Linked DNA regions of Oreochromis niloticus. The protein of the gene in region 1 purifies or fractionates together with the protein of each later gene. This does not show direct contact. Links are inferred from orthologs where the notes say so. Each region holds a gene or a part of one and is shown in the gene's direction. Other genes may lie near its edges. The genes, in order: serine/threonine-protein kinase 38-like and mob2a.

Evidence for each region.
Region 2: the proteins of serine/threonine-protein kinase 38-like (region 1) and mob2a purify together in Homo sapiens (affinity purification with mass spectrometry; 9 studies listed by BioGRID and IntAct, counting the BioPlex papers as one, with this or other methods). This does not show direct contact. The link is inferred for Oreochromis niloticus from reciprocal best matches to the Homo sapiens genes STK38L and MOB2.

What each region holds. Positions count from the first base shown.
Region 1 is NC_031981.2:34,725,304-34,735,439, forward strand, and holds the start of serine/threonine-protein kinase 38-like, read left to right. Parts: upstream 1-5,541; 5' UTR 5,542-5,948; intron 5,949-10,136. Other genes in the region: med21 (mediator of RNA polymerase II transcription subunit 21), read left to right, coding at 1,470-1,570, 3,070-3,267. UniProt on the Homo sapiens protein: Involved in the regulation of structural processes in differentiating and mature neuronal cells.
Region 2 is NC_031972.2:60,146,652-60,156,748, forward strand, and holds the start of mob2a (MOB kinase activator 2a), read left to right. Parts: upstream 1-5,301; 5' UTR 5,302-5,425; coding exon 5,426-5,541; intron 5,542-10,097. UniProt on the Homo sapiens protein: Stimulates the autophosphorylation and kinase activity of STK38 and STK38L.

The sequences.
Region 1 (10,136 bases):
GCTGGCCTGGGAACGCCTTGGTATTCCCCCGGATAAGCTGGAGGAGGTGGCTGGGGAGAGGGAGGTCTGGGCTTCTCTGCTTAGGCTGCTGCCCCCGCGACCCGGCCTCGGATAAAGCGGATGAAGATGGATGGATAAATATAAAAAAAAATTAAAGTTCAAGAGGAGATGAGAGAAACACTCATCAAAGATGGTGACGTTGCATAACTTCTCCACCAGAGGTCACTGTGCAACTTCATTATGTTTGGAATCCAACAAACACAGTAACCAGCTCAACATTATCAGAAACAGATTGCATGTAATTGCCAACTTGAGCCATCGAACCTCAGACTGATATCAGTCATAATGACTCCATCTTATAGTAACATTTATGGCAGTTTTTAATAACAGTGATGGGGGATGCTTGACAATCTCATTTTGCAGTGAGATTACGTCATCTCATTGGATAAAACAGATACTGATAAAGTTTAACTTTGAGGACATAAATTGTACTATATGTTATTGCAATATTTAGCATATCCCATAATGTTGAAAATGACAGTAATATATTGTAAAATTGTGGTATCAAATGGTGTCTGGTGATTCCCAGCCTAGTATAGCTGTGTGTTGGTACATGTCATAGCTGTGTGCTGTCACCAGAGGGCAGTATAACAATTATGTGGAACAGTCTGAGAGCTAGACTTGTTTGCATTTGTTCAGTTTCTCCTTTAACTTCGACCCTGATACAGAAAAGATATGTCGTAATATAAAAATAACTTCTTTGCAGTGAAATGGAACACGGTATTGAAAATTTTCTACGTATCCACTGTCTGTGTTTCTCATGCTGGTTTTTTTATTGTTGATTATTTTTTGCCACTGTTTCCTCTTTGTGGTGAACTCCTCTGTTACTCCCTTTCCTGTTAAAGTGAACTTTTCAGCAAATTAGTTTCTAGTATTATCACTGTCAGCCAGTGCTACATGTGCTGTTGATCTCTTGGAGCACTGCACACAAGCATGTCTGTAGAGGTTGCATACCCAAAGTTATCAGGCTACATGGACAAAATCTTATGCAAACTGACATAAATGCAGTACAGACTGGCTTACATAATGTGGAACAGCTTGTTAGCTTCAAAAAATTTGTCTGAAACAGGAATGAAGACGTCCACACAGTGCTTTGTACAGTAGTCATCCCTGATCATACAACACCGGGTCTCCATCACTACACCTGCATATCATTCATGATGAATGTCTCTCTACAACTTAAATGATTTAGTTTCACCACTTCTTTACATTTTACTCAATATTTAGTGACATTTTATCTTTTCACTCTAAATACTATGGTACATAATGATTTTTCTCTTATAAAAAAAGGGAGGGGGCTACTTTCTGTAGCTCAAAAGCATGTGGAGTGTGTGTTTATGTTCTGTTATATATATTAATGATTTGCATGATGATTCACCTGTATTTTGTTTTTCTTGATCTCTGTTTAGAGTATGCCCAGCTGTTTGCAGCCCTTATAGCCCGAACAGCCAAAGATGTGGATGTACTCATAGACTCTCTGCCCAGCGAGGAGTCCACAGCAGCTCTGCAGGTCAGCACATTCATAAGTACCACTGACTATTTCACATGTGTGTATATATATTTCAATGTATTAATTCTATTTTCCCGTGAGTATTTCTAGCTATCAGTCAGCAGAGGGAACCAGTTAAAAGTTCATACTGTTGCTTTCATGCCAACTTCACAAGTCTCTGCAGAGATTTTTTTCCCCATTAATGTAAAAAAAACAAATAAAAGAGCAGGAGAAATTTACTAATCCTGCTTTGATGTTAGTATTTTTGTCACATTAGCACGCACAGACACTCTTTAGAATAACATTCCATATTCTCTGTTTGATGGGGCAGTGTGTTTTGTGTGTAAGCAAACTGTTTATAGTCTATAGTGAAATATGTTAAAGACAACAACAATCATTCTTGTGTTGATCTCTCTCCTGTAAATAGAAAGATACATGACATCAAATGTCACTTTCCTGTGCACTGCTTTCTACTATTAGATTAGGCTAGAATAGATTAAAGAACAGAAAACTGAGAATAGAATGTTTCCCAGCAAGCATATCTGAGTGCAATACACAGTACTGCCAGTGAGTACCATTACTCACAAATGCCAAATGCCAGTGAGTACCATTACATTAGTAATGGTACTCGGAAAACTTGCTAACTTTTTGATCTGTTTCCAGAGACTTTTATCAGTAGACAAAATGCAAAAACACTTTTAATACTTTATGGCCTTCACTCAAGAGAGAAACAATAAACACCAATTATGCTTAATGTAATTACAAGCTCCACATGCTTTTTCTGACCCGAGTAGGTGCTACTCTTTCTCAAACAAGTATGATATTTATTTCTAGGTAATGTTATAAGAAAGTAAGCCATGTCATTTCTAGCTTTTTATAACTCGGAGCAGTAGTCGTCAGTCTTTCTGAGAAACACCCGAGCAATATTGCATAATCAGTGGTGTTGGGTCTTTTTGCAAGGATACTTCTATTTTCATGCGGGCCACAGGGCAGCATTTTTTAGATCTTAGTGCTGTCAGATGTCAGTGGAATTTTGTGAATGAGGCTTCCACAGCCCAGAAGTTCTGGTTTCCCTGTAGCTCTCTGAGGGCCAACAATACACGCAACTGGTTTTGGATGTAAAGTAAAAAGACATCTGTCATACAAAGCTGTTAGAAACGATCAGCTGTAAGACCACGTCTCAGGAGACTTTCTGCACACATTGTGAATCATGCATGAAATCTCGTCACAGTCTGATGGCAGCTTTTGAACCGTGAAACAGAACTTGTACAAAGTGATTCTCATCAACTATTTAAAAGTTGCTCACACACACCACCTGCGTTGTGTGGGGATATTGGGTGTACCAGGTGGGAATTCTTTTATTATTCTGTCAGTTACTGTGAGATCTGATGCTCCCAAGTTATACAGTCATGATCTGCACACAATTAAAGGAAACCTTCACTCAGTTGTTCACTCAGTTATTTGACGCTTCACAAAAGGGCAAATAAAAACACTTAAGCTGTTTTCATTAAATCTGACAGTCTGTGACCTCTCATCAGGCAGCCAGTCTGCGGCAGCTGGAGGAGGAGAACCATGAGGCAGCAGCTCGGCTGGAAGAGGTGGTTTACCGCGGCGATATGCTGCTGGAGAAGATCCAGAGTGCACTGGCTGACATCGCCCAATCCCAGCTCCGCACCCGCAACGGGGCACCTAGCCAGCCGTCACCGGCTGAATCCTGACCCGAGGAATGCATAATATGATTCTGGACAATTTTCAGTCTTTTCAGCTATTTTTTTTTTCTTTGCCTTCAGCCACAATAGGCCTGCCAAATGTGGTGTGTGTTCACATGTCAAATGTGTGAAAATGTAGATGCTGAAGCGGTTCTGTGTGGATGAGGTCATCTTTATGTTTTTTGTTTGTTTTTGAAACGTCATTTCTGCAGCTCAGCTAAAGAAGGATGAAAGATGGTGTCTTTACATGCACACGGATCCTCTTTTTCCTGAAATTTTTATTTTTAAAAAATGAAAACAAAAAAAAACTTCTCCGTGGGTCTGAGGAGACCAATCTGCCAGGTGTTCTGTGATTTATGTACACTATATGTTATATATTTATGTCTGATTTTGTAGATATTCAATTAAACCATCATAGCTCATCTCTCTGAAGTATTTTCTTTAAATAAACCGTGGACAGCCACATAAGTGTTAATAACGTCCCTTTTTTATATAATTTGCAAACTGTTACCACAAGCATTTGTACATTAACCATGTGGGTGATGTTAATTGTTGGAGTTTGTTCGTGGCATTGCATCAGTTTCGTTTTTTTTCATTTGAACTGATACGCTAGCAGAAACTGACTTGACGTACTGCGAGCCTTTACCAGGAAACGATTACAATTAAAGAATGACCACATTTCAGTTCATGTGACCTTTAAAGGAAATTCTGATGGACACAGCTTTGAGGAACTAAGCTGTGGCTCTTGTATATTTCATAATGTGTTTTGACAAAAACAATAGTGAAAGAAAAAGACTTTAAAAGGAGGGGAAAAAAAACAACTCAATAATCTGGTTCTATCGACGGTTTGAAACGTTTCAGTAAAAGGCATGAAAATTTCACATTACGGAAAGTTATGTATATGCATGTGTTCTGTTCTAACTCCTAGTCAGTCTGATACATGATATAAAAAAAAATCTAAAGAGCAAAAATGACTTTTGTCATATTTGCAACTAAAATATTTTCACAAGTCATGCCGTACAATCTTGATTTTTGCAAAACAAATGCTTTCATATTGGCTGAATCCATTTCAGACTGAACTTTGTGAAACCTAGGCTGCAGGCCAGAGAGTTTATAGCCCAAATCTAAATATAGGTGCTGTGTCACAGCTCAGTGGGCTCCATTGATGTGAGAAATATAAAAACAGCCTTGTCTGCTGGCCACCACACCCAGACGTGTTAGCGGGACCCACCCGCCTGTCTGCATGTTGACATCATGGTCCTAACAGTAAAAGCACTTAACCCGCCCAAATGAGGAGATTTATGACAGCAAATCTTCACCTTTCACTGTGAGCCGCCGTGGTTTGGTCAACAAAACTTTGTCTGTGCTCCAATTTTGTTATCTGCGTTTTCATTCACATGTGATTAGTGTAGCTTCTCCCTTTAATGTTCTTTGTCCTATAGACCTTTGGGATACACAACGTACAAGGAAATGAAAGAGTCCAGATAGGGTGAAGACATTTCTAAGCACCACTGATGGGATTATTAAGGAAACAAGTCAGTTCCCTTTTGAAGGGCTCTACTGTAACAATGTTGGAATGTGGACACATTCATTTCGGTTTCTAGTTTAAACAATGACCACTTTTTAAACGGTTTGGAGGCAGACACGCTGTTATCATCTCAAACTGCTATGGCAAAGGTCTCAGATTGTGCCTTAATAGAAAGTGTTATAAATGTGGACTGTGTGTGACTTTTATCTTATCATACTTTATTACGTTCTATCTGCTTTATTGCCACTAGATAAACGTAGTCCAATAAAATATCCGTGTGGTTTAGATCAGTTCTACTTAAATTTTGAATAGCAGTAAGATTTCAGTATGACTAAATCCTGCAGCTTTTTCATTTAGTCAACAATTAGAAACCTGATGATTGTGTATTGATCACCAATGTGACCTTTTATTGGCCTTACATACCCTCTCATTCATACGCTATTTCCTAATTATGTGTGAAGAACATTTTACGGTAAAGTACCATTTAATCCTTACAAATTATTAGAATAATACCAGCTATTTTTAGTAAGGATTTGCGCTAAGCACAACCAATAAAATTATGTAACAAAGCCTCCAACCGCTGGAGCTACTGTATATTCTTTCATAGCTGCAAACGCTTGCTAACTGGACCCGTCCCCAACTCTTGCAGGGCGGCTTGGATGCTATTGGCCAATCTATCACTCTTATGTAGAGGCCACGTTTTATTGGGCAGAAGGAAACACGGATTCTTTTAGTCATCGCTGATTGGTCGGCGTTAGCGTCATTCAGGCGCTACGCCGTTGCGTTGTCGGAACGTCTGATGAGCCCGACGGTCTCAGGAAGCAGCGGAGCTTATTTCATATTTTGTAGCGATAAAGGTCCGAGGGGAACAGTGTATTTTTGGGGGGGTCGGTTGCCACATGTACAGACGGTAAAATATTTTCAAATTATTTTGGCGTGGGGTATTTTCACCGTCAGAGGTCTTTTGTTATGATTTGAGGTTAATAGCGGCGATGTTTACTGTGGAGCCTCATAGGTTTCTTTAAGGGGTAGCCTATAACCAGAGCCTCTAGCTTCCAACTGCCTAAAAAATTAGGCAGAAACGATATAAGACATTTAATTTCTTCATTTGGGTCGTGGCCTGGCGGCACGCCAATAATTGACTCTGGAGCAGGACACGGAGGTAAGTGAAAAAGATTTATTTAAAAAAAAAAAAATGCTGTCCATTTTTTATGCTGTCCGAATTGAATTTATTAATATAGTTGAACCTGCCACACAGACACGCAAAGGGAATGTAGCAAATAGCTAGCTCGGACAGCATAGCGTCAAACAAGCTAAATACAAGAAAGAAGCAGTGAATATTCTCCCTAGTGTGAGGCATGCAGCAGTGGCGGACCTATGGTAGGAGAGGTCCGACAGGGTGGCGTCAGTGTAGGTGAGCCGGGAAACATTAGCTAAGGCAAACATGTGCATGTGTACATACCGGTAACTGGTTAATCGCCACATGTAAAGGGTGAAAAGCTTTTTAAAAATTGCCATTTTTGCCATACATTTTGTTCACTTCTAATATGAACTGACTGCTCTCTCTGATGGATTGGATTTCAGAATGTATTTGAGATAAATGTCCTTTTGTTAAGTTGTTAATACACTTCAAGTTCCTCTTGCCGGGAAGCATTTTGTGAGTTTTTAAACACACACTTGGCTGTTTAGCTTAAAATAAACATACTGTTCAGGGGAACATATGCTTTCACAGTTTCTCTGTGCGTAAGCGCACATTTGTGTGTTGATTCATGACTGAGTTCTTTCATTCGGGAGGGAAAGGGTTTCCTGTCCACTCACTCCGAGTGCTTTAAGGGTGGAGTGTGTGAAACTGAAGAATTTTTCACACAAAACTGAGAAATTGGTGGTTAACGGTTACACTGAGCTACATCTGTCCTGATTCTTCTTTCTATTCAAAGTAAAGTATTTCTCCAGAAACACCTGCAGCAGGCTGGATTTTAAAGTTCAGTGGTTCATCTGGGTTATAGCTTGCCTGCTTGTATGACATTGGCTTCTTCTCATGCAGATAATCTCAAGCTGATCCACAGATCTCAGAATTCCATTAGGAAATAATTTCTTACTAGCTAAAAATCATTCATGTTGTTCTGTTGGAGGTGTTTAGTACTTGAAAGTGTAGTCAAACAATCTGGCAGCTACCAGCAACACTTTATTTTAAGTGTAAGAAGCTATGTATATATTATGTATTACTTGATTTGTGTAAAATGAATAGATGTTGCCATTGCTGGTGACCTGAGAACAGCCTGTGAAGAGTAAAGGAAATGAGTCTGTGTTAGCTTGTTTGAAAGAAATCTCCATTATTTTCTGATAATTACAGCTGCTTGATAGACGGGAAATCCTCATTAGAACTGGCTAAAAATAATGTTCCTATGGTTGGACGCTTATCTTTCATTGGGACTGAATGCTTTACTGGAGCCACTGGTGTATTTCAGTTCTGGTGGGCTGTTTTAGGCTGCATTCTTAAGTTTCTAAATAGCAAGCCCGAGTTGGTAATGCCTTCCTTATAAGTGCCTGAGTTGCGCAGCCGTGTTTGTTTAGCTGTGGGGTGGATCTGGTTATCTTCAAGCCAACTGAATCCCCTTTAGGCAGAGCTAAGGCCTGGCTGGCTCAGTTATGATGTAACTGTTTAAATTATGGCCCTTTTTCCACCTTGTTGGGAAAACCAGGAAAAAAAAACCTCCATGAGGGGAAATTCTGAGTCTCTTTTCACATATTACGAAAAGCACATCTTTCCACTCATTTCCTTTCGATGTGGATAATCCAGGTTATCCAGTATAGGTTGTGAAAATTTCTTCTTCTAAGATGGATAAAAAATAACAGCTCAATCAAACTAAATGAAAGAACTGAATATACTGTTTGACTGTCATCAAGATAATTTAAACCTAACACCATGTTATCTTGGATTAGTTCAGCTCTATTCCAATAGCATGCAGGCTCTAACTAATATTGGTGCTTTTTCTGCCAGCACAATAGTCATGACACCTTGTTATTCCTAGCCAAGAATAAAATAAGAATGCACAATCTTTATTTTAAGCAAAATTATTCTTATTATAGATAGATAGCAAACAAGCTCTTTTGTATAACCCATTTATCTTAGTCTGCATGGTAACTTATGTGTTCAAGGGGGGGGCTGTGTTATCGGTGCATGTGTGAGTTCAGGGTGGTTATGGTTTTAGGGAAGAAATTGTTTTTGAGTCTGTGGGTTTTTGTGCTGATGCACCTGTAGCGCTTCCCTGAGGGAAGCAGGCTGAACATGTTGAAACCAGGGTGGGAGCTGTCCTTGATGATGTTTGCTGCTCTGCTGAGGCAGCGGGAGGAATAAATGTCCATCAGGGCATTTATTATGAACATACAGTGAAACTCTTGCTCCTCGTACACGCCAGTGTTTATGTGTGCAAAAGCAAATGCAACTGTGTAAAATGCATAAAATAATACTGTTACTTTGTGACAATAAGCACTAAAGAAATAGTCAGCTGCTTTTCAACTGAGCGTCTCCTAGGCAAGCTGCACCTTCGCTTTTTGAACCGCAGCAAACGGCGGTCCTCGGTCTGCTCTCTTCCCTCACCGGTGAGCTCGGTCTGCTGTCAAACTAATCAGCTCTCCGCCTCCTCCTGGTTCTGGTTAGAGTGATGCTCCAGCTCAAATCGGTTCTCTCGGGCTGAACGAGGACTGCTGTCACTGATGTTTGTCTGATTGCAGAATGAGAGAGTCTGGGGACCGGCTCAGATAGGGAAACATGAGATGGGAATGACCCAAGCTAGCTGGTTAAGAGTGACCATTAGCTGTGCATATTGAAGCTCTGTATATGACTCTGTATTTCATTGAGCCCTAAATATTTATCTTGTGAACACTTTATGGGAGACTTCAGGAGTACTGGAGACTCAGGATAGATGTCTGCATGGCAGTAGTCAGAAATGGAGAGACTGCACAGTAGACGACAGTAGTATACATACAAGCCCACAGCAATTGAGCAACAGCTTCTGCTGGGTTAATGCAACACCACTTGAACAAACCACCTGTAGACATGCAATACTACACCAGCTCATAATATTGCTGGTAATTTGTTTACTTGTTATTTATGGTTATATATCTGAAGATTATTTAAGGCAGTGGTGCATAGTTGTAGCGTGGCAACATTTTTTTTGATTCCACAATATTTGGATGGACATTTTGACTACATGCAGAGGATGTGACCCCTCCCCATTTATACATTTAAACGATGGCTCCGTGATAACCTACACTTTGGGTTAGCTAATACGGTATCCTTTTTCTCCAGAGTGCTCTTATCGTGTCAATAAAGTCGTCTAATGGTGAGGATAGGGAGGTATATGTCTATAATTCATGCACTTTCTTTTAAGTCCAGTCTTATTAAACAAGGCCCAGCCATTAGCCGGTGCTTAATCATCAGTCAAAATCATAAATCTAGTCAGCAATTGAAATATTAGCTGCAGTCACAGAGAAATAAACTTGTGTCCCAGAGTGAGTGACATCTAAAGTAGTAGTTTCTAATAGTTGCTGAGGTGGTGTGGTATCCACTTCTTTATGAAGAAAAGTGTGCTTGCAGGTAGAGTACACAGAGGTCCAGTCGTAGCTGATGGAAACCTTAAAAAAGTTGCGTCACATCTTGCCCATGTGAATGCACAAGTGTAAGTGTGCATGCTCAGGGTTGCTGTTTTATTGGTAGGCTGAGCTCCCAGCGTGCGCTGTGTGCAGGTACATCAGGACAGACCTCGCTAACTCAGAAGCCATTGTTTGCTACCGATCCAGTTTTCCTCCCAGTTTGCAGCAGTGATTCAGGATTTTTCTCAGAAGTCAGGAAATGTTTTTTGTTGTTGTGGGATTGCAGAGCCATAACGGGAAAAGGACCGGTGACTAGACGAAACACGGGTCCTATCTTTGGCCTGCAGGACTGTTTTATCTCCTTGTGAGCTAATCAAGCCCATTCATACCTTTTCTGATAGTGAACTGCTAACATGTTGTGATGATATACACGTCCCCCCTTCTTCCTCTTTCTTCCTTACTTCCTTTGTTACATAATATGTTCACAGTCTGTTTTTTTTTTTTTTTTTTTTTTGGTTTTCTTTTGTTTTTTTTAATATTCTATGAATTTTGCTGGGGGAAAATGAAACTTCTTTCTTCTTTTTTCCTTTCTTGTGCTCTTTAGCATCATCATTTGTCTCCGATTGTGTTTAAACTACATGTATGTTTCTTTTGCTGCCTGAGCTTTTCATTCCACCCACATGAGGGCTTTGTAGAGAAAATTCTTCCCAAGTAGTTAAACATTTTCAAGCGCTTTCATCTGGACTTAAGGCTA
Region 2 (10,097 bases), on another chromosome or scaffold:
GGAAAGCTTTTGTGTCTGCAGCAATGCAAAGTTGTTACATATGCATATACCAAACTTTTTGCAATGTTTAAGCTTGTCTAAGTATTCCAAAACTTAGCCACATCTTTTGGTTGTCCTTGATTGAGGAGAATCCCTTTTAAGCACTCAGTAGTATTTTATAGATTAATGCAGGTCATCTGTCTCTCCTTCACCTTAGACTGTTAAATTTCAATAAAAATTGAATGTGCCATGTCATTTTAACCCTTGGAGGGTGTGTGTGTGTGTGTGTGTGTGTGTGTGTGTGTGTGTGTGTGTCGGGGGGGGGGGCTGGGTTTTGGGGGTTTTTTTGTGCACTGTTACACTTGACAGACAGGTGTTTGGCTGGTCCAAATGGTGAGTGCAGGATGCATAGAGACTCTCCTCTCCTAAGGAATGCAGGGAGGAGGAGTGCAGCGGGCAGCCAGGGCATGCTGTGACAACCTCCCACATGATCTAAACTCTTTCACTCTTTGCTTCTTCTCCTTGCTTTTAACTGTTATTCACACTTTTTCTCTTCTGTTTTTCCCCTTACGTCATTCTCTGCGGCTCAACCCTCTCACTTTATCACTCTCACTAATCTTAACTACTCGCTCATTCTCATTTCCTAGTCCTTTTATCCCCCCATATTTCATCCATTTCTCTCAGTTTCATTCTCAGTCATTTCTCACTGACATAATCCACGCAGCATCCATGGTGTTGGTGATTTATAAGCATTTGGATACGAGTCTGGAATTTCTCATCTCATGTCTGCTTCTTGCTAAAGTCCTGTCTTCCTTTAGCTTTAAACAAGAAAAAACACGTCCTCCTGTCTATTACACACAGTCTCTACTTTGCAAACTTTTTCATATTGAAATCAACTCAGTGCCAAAGGTTTGCAGCAAAATGTCTGAACTCCAGAGTAAGCTGACTTGTAACTCGCTTAAAGATGCAGCAGCAATTGATCAGACAGGTATAGTTCTTTGATGCCATTGCTGTTTTTAAATAGAGCATGAAGTTGGAACTCTGTTATGTTTGTTCATGAAGTGCTCACATATACCTCCCAAACAAGAATGTCCAAGTGAATTGTGAGCCAGAATGTAATGCTCTTGATCTCCTTGAGTTACTTTAAGACTGAACTGTTCTCTTTGTTTAACAAAGCTGTGTGTGCAGAAAGCAATGACATGTCTTTGCTTGTAGCCCTTCCCCTGCAGGAATGTAGAGCCAAGAAGAGATGAAGCAAAGGGCAGAAGAAAGCATATGTGCAAAGATTCAATGGCATAAAGGTTGAAGGGAGAACATGGTGGGCAAAGACTAGTTAGTCTTTCCTTCTGTAAGGGGCATGCTAAATTAATGTGAATGTTTTAATGCCATGTGCTTCATATGAATAGTGAGTTGAGACTGGTGTTAAAAGCACAGCTGCTTATTGCACTCTTTATAAGCCCAAAATTGTCTGTACAAAGTATGTGTAAGCACTTTCTAGCTGATCGTAGTCATTGAAGCTGCCTTTTTTGGTGGAGGTTTTGCATTTGCACAGACATACAGACCATACGTGCCCATTTATCTCCACAATTTTGCAGAAGGGAGAAAATTACAGATGTTGCTGCTTTTTTTTTTTTTTTTTTTTTTTTTTTTTTTGGATCAGATTTTTTCTTATTTTTGGTTGGTAGGGGGCCTGGTAGCAGATGCTATATTTTTATTAAACAGATTTTGCTTCTGCAGTTATGTACTGCAGGCCAGGTCGCTGGGTTCATGGTCCAAAGTGTCTCCCTGGCCCTGCTGACCTTTATCCGTGCCTATAGAAAACCCCCAGGCTCTAAAGACCTTCGGTCTGTGCTGTTGTTACTGCTTAAGACCTTACCTAAACACAGTGCACACTCCCACACGCCCAGAATGCAACACCAACAGGTCATATACAGCAACTTGGAACTACTCTGTTTCCGATTCATTTATTTTGGGTTTTAACACGGTTGGGTGCCTGACCTGTCTGTCATTTTGTCCCCAGCGATGATTGGCTGGAGAGTCACTGTGGCCAGACCAGGACTGGTCTGTTGCCAGGCCCCAAGGCGCATCTGCTACGGTCGTGACTCATGTAGCTCTGGCCTGGAATCAGTGTTTTCTTTGTCTTAAATACGTGGAATTTGTCCACTGACTTTTAGACTCAACCTGTTGAGCCAGCTCCAGAGATCACTGTTCACAAACATGTTTTATCCAGAATCTTCTATTCCACTTTATCATTTTAGTGATAATAAAAACTTTCAGCAGATTTTAACACATAAATTTGAATTCACTCGACGCCTTTTGCGCTGTTTTGCTTATGACGTCAGTGCTGTGGTGAATGAATATCTTACATTTCTTACAGTGCTTATTTTTCTTGTCTTATCTGTTGGTCTGATCAGTTCTGACTATAATTATCATGCTTAATGTTGTTTTGGGTTTTTTTACGGACATCAGATTAGGGCTTTACTCATCTGTCAGTATCAGTGATGTCAGTGTTTCCATAAATTGCCTCCATTTATTCTTTTTTTTTTTTTCTTTTCTTTTCACAAGCGTCCTGTTTTGTAATTAAATCCAATCCTTTGGCATCTCTTAATTAGGGTGGTCATTTTTGATTAGTTTAACATCCTTCAAGCAGCTTCCAGGTACTGATAAAAGTCAGTCTTTCTGTGGTTTTGCTTGTTAAACTAATCTACAAATTGTTGTTGCTGTGGATTTTACATCTGTAACCTTTTTTATAGTGGAAAAAAGTTCCTACACTTTCTCAAGAAGTACGCCTTACCCACAAACAAATGGATGTGTGTTCAGAGAATGGAAATTTGATCCTGTATCTGCATTACTGGCAGGTCATTACCGGACTTGGCCTTTTCTATCCAACCTTTCCTGTGTTATTAGTAATTTACAGCAATATCTGTTTTGTTGAAAGCAGGTAGCCTTGTCTGCGTATTTGAGGGGGAGGAGATTGTGATGCCAGCAGGGAGGGAAGAGTAAACCTCTGTGTGAGAGACAAAGGAATGTGGCAGTTGGTTTCCATTCACGTCAGACGTTGCATAAGAGAGGTCTGACTTGTACATCATCAGAATCCACATGGTCACACAGCGCTGCAGACTGCAGTCGTGATCACCTACTGCTCATTTAGTAAAAGAAAGGTCTAGTTTAGGTTAAGAGATGCCGCCTCATCTAATTTTCATGCCCAATTCACTAAAACGTTTTGTTCCCACAAGTGATTGTCGAGGCCAAGCGCTAGTGATCCTGAATGGATGTTTTCTATTTTCAGCAACCACTTGGGTCCAATAGTTAGAAGCAAATTAGTGGAAAGTTCCTCAAGCATGGGATTTCCATTATAGCGACACACTGTTTTCTCGTGATTACATGTAACACTTTTAACAGCAATATCACACTGTGATAGACCACATAGAAATGTGATTTTAGTGTTTATGATGTCCTGTAATGCGTTATTATAAAATTCCTTTTATGTTATTTTTCATCATTAAAATGACACCAAAAAGGATTGAAACTATTAGCAGTTTGAAGAACTTCCCAAAATGACAGTAAACACAAGCAGAAAATGACCAAGAATTGATGCAAATTTGCTGTACATTTTGGAATATTTAGAACTTTTTTTTTTTATGTTGCTGAGACCTGTAGACTTTTGATAATGACATATATATATATATATATATATATATATATATATATATATATATATATATATATATATATATATATATATATATATATATATATATATATAGCCCTCAAAACAAACTACTCCCACGTCTGATTATATATCCCCTTCTTACCTCTTGCTTACACAGTGACTGGTTAAGCTGCACACTTATTTGTTCCTGCTTACACACACACTAAGCCAGACACCCATGGCACCCCCCCCCCCCCCCCCCCCCCCCCCCTTTTTTTTATCAGTTTCTGTAGTCTTTATGATGAGGCAGGCTGATACTATAATTAGCATCTTAAGAACAGAGTCTGTGCCCTGTTCTGGTCTCTCTCTCGCTGTCTCTCTCCCCTCTTCCCCAGACTCCTCACAGCTGGTATCGGAGCCAGAGTGACTCAGTGTGCACCCGTAATGTGGTATGCAGGATGTGGGTGCAGAAAGGTGCCTATCTGACTCGCTGTCTCTTAGATTTTTTTTTTTTTTTAATCCATATAAGGGTTAACCATAAACAAGTACTACATATTCCTTACACACTCTGACAGTCTCTTCATCTTGCTCTTAAAACTGCATTCCCCGACTCAAGGCATGCACATAGCGCTACACAATCCCATAGATTTGTGTCCATGCATGAATCCATACTATAGCCAGGCAGGCACACTAAGTTTTGTTTGAGAAGATGGAGGAAAAACAGACAGTAAAGGAGTGAGGCAGTGAAACGCGCAGAGAGAGAATAAGAGGGCTCATCTGTTGTAAGGCAGTAATTAGAGGGAAGAACAGCGAGGGAATGATAACTTAGTAACACTAGTTGTAATCTTCTCATGAATGGAACATCTTCCACTTGTCTGTGTTCATTTACACTAGCACATTTTGTACTTAAGTGTTGTCGCTTCAGCTCTTTACTGATAATTTAATTAGAATTTATATCATACCTGTGCTTTTAAAAAAAATATCTCAAATGAGAAATGCAAAGAAACCTCCAGATGTTTTTTACAGATCTGCCTTTGGCTTTTAAGCAGGCTTTGTTTGATTGGCTCACTGGTTCTTCAGCTTTTACAGCATGTCTGAACTCGCCTGACTGCTGCCAGCCTATCATAAATGAACTCAAGTGAAGTTCAGAGTGAACAGAAGGAATGTTGCTCAGCATGCAAGACAATTAAAGTGAAGGAAGGTTTTAATGATTATTCTAACACAGGAATAAACGATTTTTACTTACACTTGCAAGGCTTTTCATCCACAATTTTCATTTTCGGCAGATGAGTTTGAGCATTATTTAAAATGCCTGTATTGGTTTTAGTTATATTTGCACCGACTTATTTTGTGAAAGTTAACAACTTTAAGAATGCATATGCAGTTTCACTGTTGTAAACCCAGAAACGGTCATGCTTGTGTAAATCCGTTGTATTAGAGCAGGTATATAAAGTCTAGCGACACCTTTTTATTGTGTTGTAGTCGTTTACCTGCGGACCACCTGTTGCTACATCGTAACTGCAATTCTGGGGAAAGGCTGAACCACGTCCACATGGGCAGACACTGACGTCACAACACCCCACCCCCTTTACACTTTTCTTCCCCTCTGTGATTGGACGAGGGCGACAGAGGAGGAGCGCCTTTCTGTAAAATGTGCTCACAAAGTTGTTTTTTTTTCTCTACCCTACAGTGAGTCACAGCTTCTCATAAGTCCCAGCGTAGTGTTTTTACAGGCAGACTACAGCTTAACAGTATTAAGGAGAGACTCTGACATCTGTCTTCATGTTTTAAGCTATGGTCAGAGACTCTTACTCCTTTTCTGGAGATAAGAAGGTCATGCACCCTCAGAGAAACTCTAAAACCGGACTAAGTTGCAAAATGGTGCTCCAGGCAGTCGGAAAAGTACTAAGGTAAAACTTACAATACTTTCGAATTAAAATATATTTGCTATTAACTTGAGTTTCTACCCTGTGTTGTTGCTTTTAATGAAGCGTGCAGTAGGTTGTTTTAGTGTTGGAAAGCTGCTTTTATCGAAGACGCAAAAACCCGCGTTGCCTTTGCGTGTTGATTTCACCGCCTTCTGATTACAGCAGCGATAACAGTCAAATATTTGTTTTGTTTTTGTATCTAAAACTAGAAAGTCTCTAGCCTGTGGTTAAATCAAGATAAACTTGCTGCCTCTTGTCTGCAGTAATTACACAAGTATTAGGCTCCTGTGATTCTGGGGTCAGTGCAAATTATCAGGATCACCTGAAAACTACTAATTCCTTTCGCTGCAGCTCTTAGCAAAACTCAACAAGAGCAGGAGAAATGTGACACTGTCTTCTCATCCAGTCTAATAAAATATTAAAGACGCCTGTAGTATTTTAACATAGTTAATTGTGTTAGTCACAGAAAATGATTACCCCCCTCCTTTTTTTCCCTTAAAGTAAAAATGATTAAAAGGTCAATTATTTGCCAAGGTGATGTGTAATTAGCCTTTTAGTTTATAAAAAAGAATTTTACTGCTATCTACTGGTCATGATATGAAGGCTCAGACTTAATACCTGAGGAATGCCTGACCCCAATATAAGGGTTAACTGTGTGTTTGTGTGTCATACAACGTGATAGAGCTACGCCAGTTATACAGAACAAATTCGTGTCCCCCCTCTTAGTGTCAGAGACCCACAGTCATTATGACTGTGTTCCTCCAGGGGACAGACAGTCATGTTAATGCTGTGATGAAGGTTCCTGTTACTTTTCAAGTCTTCGGCCAGGTGTGTTTCTTTTCAAGCAGCAGCCCAAAGGGCACATGCCTCACATCCTGTGGTGTTTTATGAAGATGTGGAGAGGGATGGTGAGGGGACTCTCCACTATTGTAGGTTCGCTTAATATATTCTAGGCTGCATATTAAGAGCAGCAGCAGAAAGTGTTGTTGTACAGTATGTTGTCTTCTGCAAGATCTGTGGCAAGTAGAAACAAGTTTTTCTGCTCCTTCTTTCTTGCGAATTCAACCCCTGTGCTCAAGAAATTAGCTGATCACCAAGAAACTACAGCCTTAATGTATTTGCCTCAGGGGTGATTGCGGGGAGGGCGAGTGGTTCCAGAAATCTTGAGTAAAAACTAAATAAAATTACCCTGTTCGGGTTAACAAAGACACATAGTTTGGATTACATAAGGTGGGTGGCACCTTAGAGCTTGTTATAGCTTTTGTTTTAACCTATTTCCTCCTTCAGTCAGTGATTCAATGCCCTTGACTTAGACGCTGGTATGAATAGAGGTTAGACAAAAGATGGCTTTTAGCTATTTTGCCTTACCTGTTCTTGTCTTTTTACAAGTAGATCGATCAGGGTGTAGAGAAATTTGCTTTATTTCAGTATTTTGCTTCCTGTTGTGTTAAATCAATTCAAGATTACACTCCCAAGTGGTTAAGTCCCAAACCCTATTCCTGTTACATGTTTGTTGTTATGATGATGAGGCTCGAATGTGGTGCTCACAGGGGTTTCTTGCATATTGTGCTAGACTGAGAGCCAGTAACTGGGATGTTTGATAGGATAACATGTAGAAGAAGAGGTAGCTAGGACAGGGCCAGTAGAGAGTGTGTGTGTGTGTGTGTGTGTGTGTGTGTGTACATTTACATATGTTTAGGTCTGCACTCTGGCTCCAGTTCTCATTTACTAATTTGCGTGGCTGCTTTCTCCCCCAGTAAAGGCGTTGATTAAGTGGTGACAGCTGCACTGTTGTAGTTTTTGTTTTCTTGTCCAAAAACTAAAATTGGCAAAATATTCAAACTATACTTAACTCTGAATAAGGCAATACTTTTCTGACTTACCAAGGCTGAACGTCAGGTTTAGTCGATGCTTAAGTCAGTCTCTTTTTTTAAGCTCTGTAATGGCTGCTGTGGTGGAGCTTTGGTGCGCTCAGACTGCTTGCTTTTTTCCCCTCTTTGTGGTTTTTCAGGGCAGGGTGCCATTGGGTCTATTTAATTTAAGTCCTGAAATAGATCAGCAGACTTGGAGAAAGCTGCTTATTTAACAAAATAGCAGAGTTCATTCACTCCATCCTGGTCTTATCATGAAATTTCAGTATTATCCCGGGTTTTATCACACTTGTTTGGTTTTTTTTCTTCCTTTTTTTAAACTTGACTAGCATAATAATAGGCTTAGAAATGAGACTGTCACGTGTTTTTTGAGGTCTGGGCATGTTTTATTTCCTCGCAATATGACCTTCAGTGGATGCCAGTGCTTTTTTGGGGGGGGGGGGGGTTCTAAGAAGAGAACAGAGAGTTGCTTTATATTTATACATTTTTGTTTATTGTGCCAGTGCATTTGATTTTTTTTTATTAGTCAAATCAAAGCTCTTGATATAGAAAGCAGCTGTCTAAAAGAAAATGGTAAAAAGAATTTGTCAGTGTCACCCGACCAGATTGCATTAAATGCGTCCATATGCCATTCGTTGGATACCCCTGTTATCGAAAAAGCCAATTCAAGCAACAGTTGTGTAATATGTTGCTTGCTGGGAGCCAGAGGCTCAAGAGGAACATGGGTTTTGTTGAACAGGTTTTCTTTGTTTGTGTTCAGCTCACAGAAAAACCAGTAAAAACTGAAAATGTTGGGGTTTTTTTTTTTTTTGTTTGTTTGTTTTTCCAAGCATTAATGTCAGTGATTTGGTGATATGGGGTGATTTAATAATTTGGTGATATGGAGATGATTAACTATGGAAACAAGAAGTCGGCATGGTCTGAATACTCCTGAAGCAATTTAGTCGCCAATTTATGGTGTTAGAGAAACTACTGTAGTAAATTCTCCAAGATAGGGCCACATTACCGCACTATCCGATGGCATGATTAATTGGAACCAGATTCTGGTAATGAGATGGACTTGCTTTTGGCGCACCTGCAAGAGGGTTCCCCCTTTCTGTTAGACGAGCCTTTTGTAAGAACCAAGCGTATTCAGGATTGATTTGGCCCACAGTCAGAAAATAATCAGCAGTTAACATTTGCACGTCATGTATATGCATGCTTGGCTTGGTTGATGCTCGTGTCTACACAAACAGTCTTTCAGACCAGATAGAACTTGCTTCTTCTAGTTTTTCTCTGGTGGGATCAGGCTCACGACACAGCTGTTGTCACCAGCTGGGTTAGTGGGGCTACTGCTAGGGGTGTGTGTATGTGTCCGTCTGTGCGCGCAACACACACAGCGCATTTGCTCTGTACTTTTGGTTTGTACAAGAGGAAAGGTAGTGAGAGAAGATGGCTTGATGGTGGGGGAGGTGGCATTGCTGGGAAAAGTGAAAGGGTGAGAGTGGATAGCGGATGGAGTTGAACAGCTGTCGGGTCAGTTACTCCACAGCTCTGCAGCACTGTACTTTGCCTAACCTGTGTAACAGCCCTATTTCCTTTTTGTTTTCATTGCAGATAAACACCAGCAGGTTTCTTCCTGCTTCTCACCATCCACTCATAAATAAATCAGGTTTACATGTATCTCTCTATTATGAGGCCATAACGTAGACCTGTTTCTGCTGGTGCCAGGCACACGTTCCTTTTCTCCTCCACACTCCTGACTTCTGGATTGCCCTGATCTGCCCCTGATCTGGCGAGGAGAAAGAGGCATCTGATGCCTTTTATGGCAAAAACTTGCCTTGGAGAACATTACCAATCAGAAGGTTGTGTGAAGGGAGGAGTGCTGGCAAAGAGGAAGTTTTCTTTATCCTAAAATAAACTAATGGCTGCAGACCATCACCTCCCCTTATCCTCAAATATTCATAAGAACTGGAGGAGGCAATTGTGTGGGAAAATTATGAAATTACAAAGAGAAAGGCAGGAAATGGCTCAGTGAAACAATGTTTTCAAAAGGATCCTTTCACAGGACCTGACCAGTTGTTCTGAAAGGCTTAGCAAAGCCTTTGAAAAGTTGCGAGAGCTTATGGTATCCAAAGATGAAGCTCTTTCGTCGGGAAAAGCTTTTTCACGTGATAGAACATGTAGCTTACAGCGCAAAACCACACAGACCACATGAATCTGTCTGTGCCCTCATGAGAGGGAAGGAGGGGTATTTTCTGTTTGTTTTGGCTAGAGGAAGGAAGCAGATGGCGATAAGGAGATATGAAAAAAAAAACAAGCACTTGAAGGAACTTTAAATGTGAAAAAAGGATTGGCAATTAAAATGTGACTCGGTACAGTTCATAGTGTGGGGTAAATTGAAAGCTGGTTGGGCAGGACAATTAAGAGCAAGTCTAGATAGTTGCAGTTTACAGTTGCACTGTACCTACGTCGTAGATTCAAAGTACAGTGTAAATGGTGCTGTGAGGAGAGAAGGATGGGAGGAAAGGACAGAAAGAGATGCCTTAAGATGGATGAGTGGAGCAACTGGAGAAAGTAGCCTGTCATTAATAATTAACCATCAGTGTGTAATCTCCAGTGTCCTTGTGGTTTTAGTTTTGTTTTTTATAAATGACAATAAAAACAAGCTCAGGTACTGCCTGACGG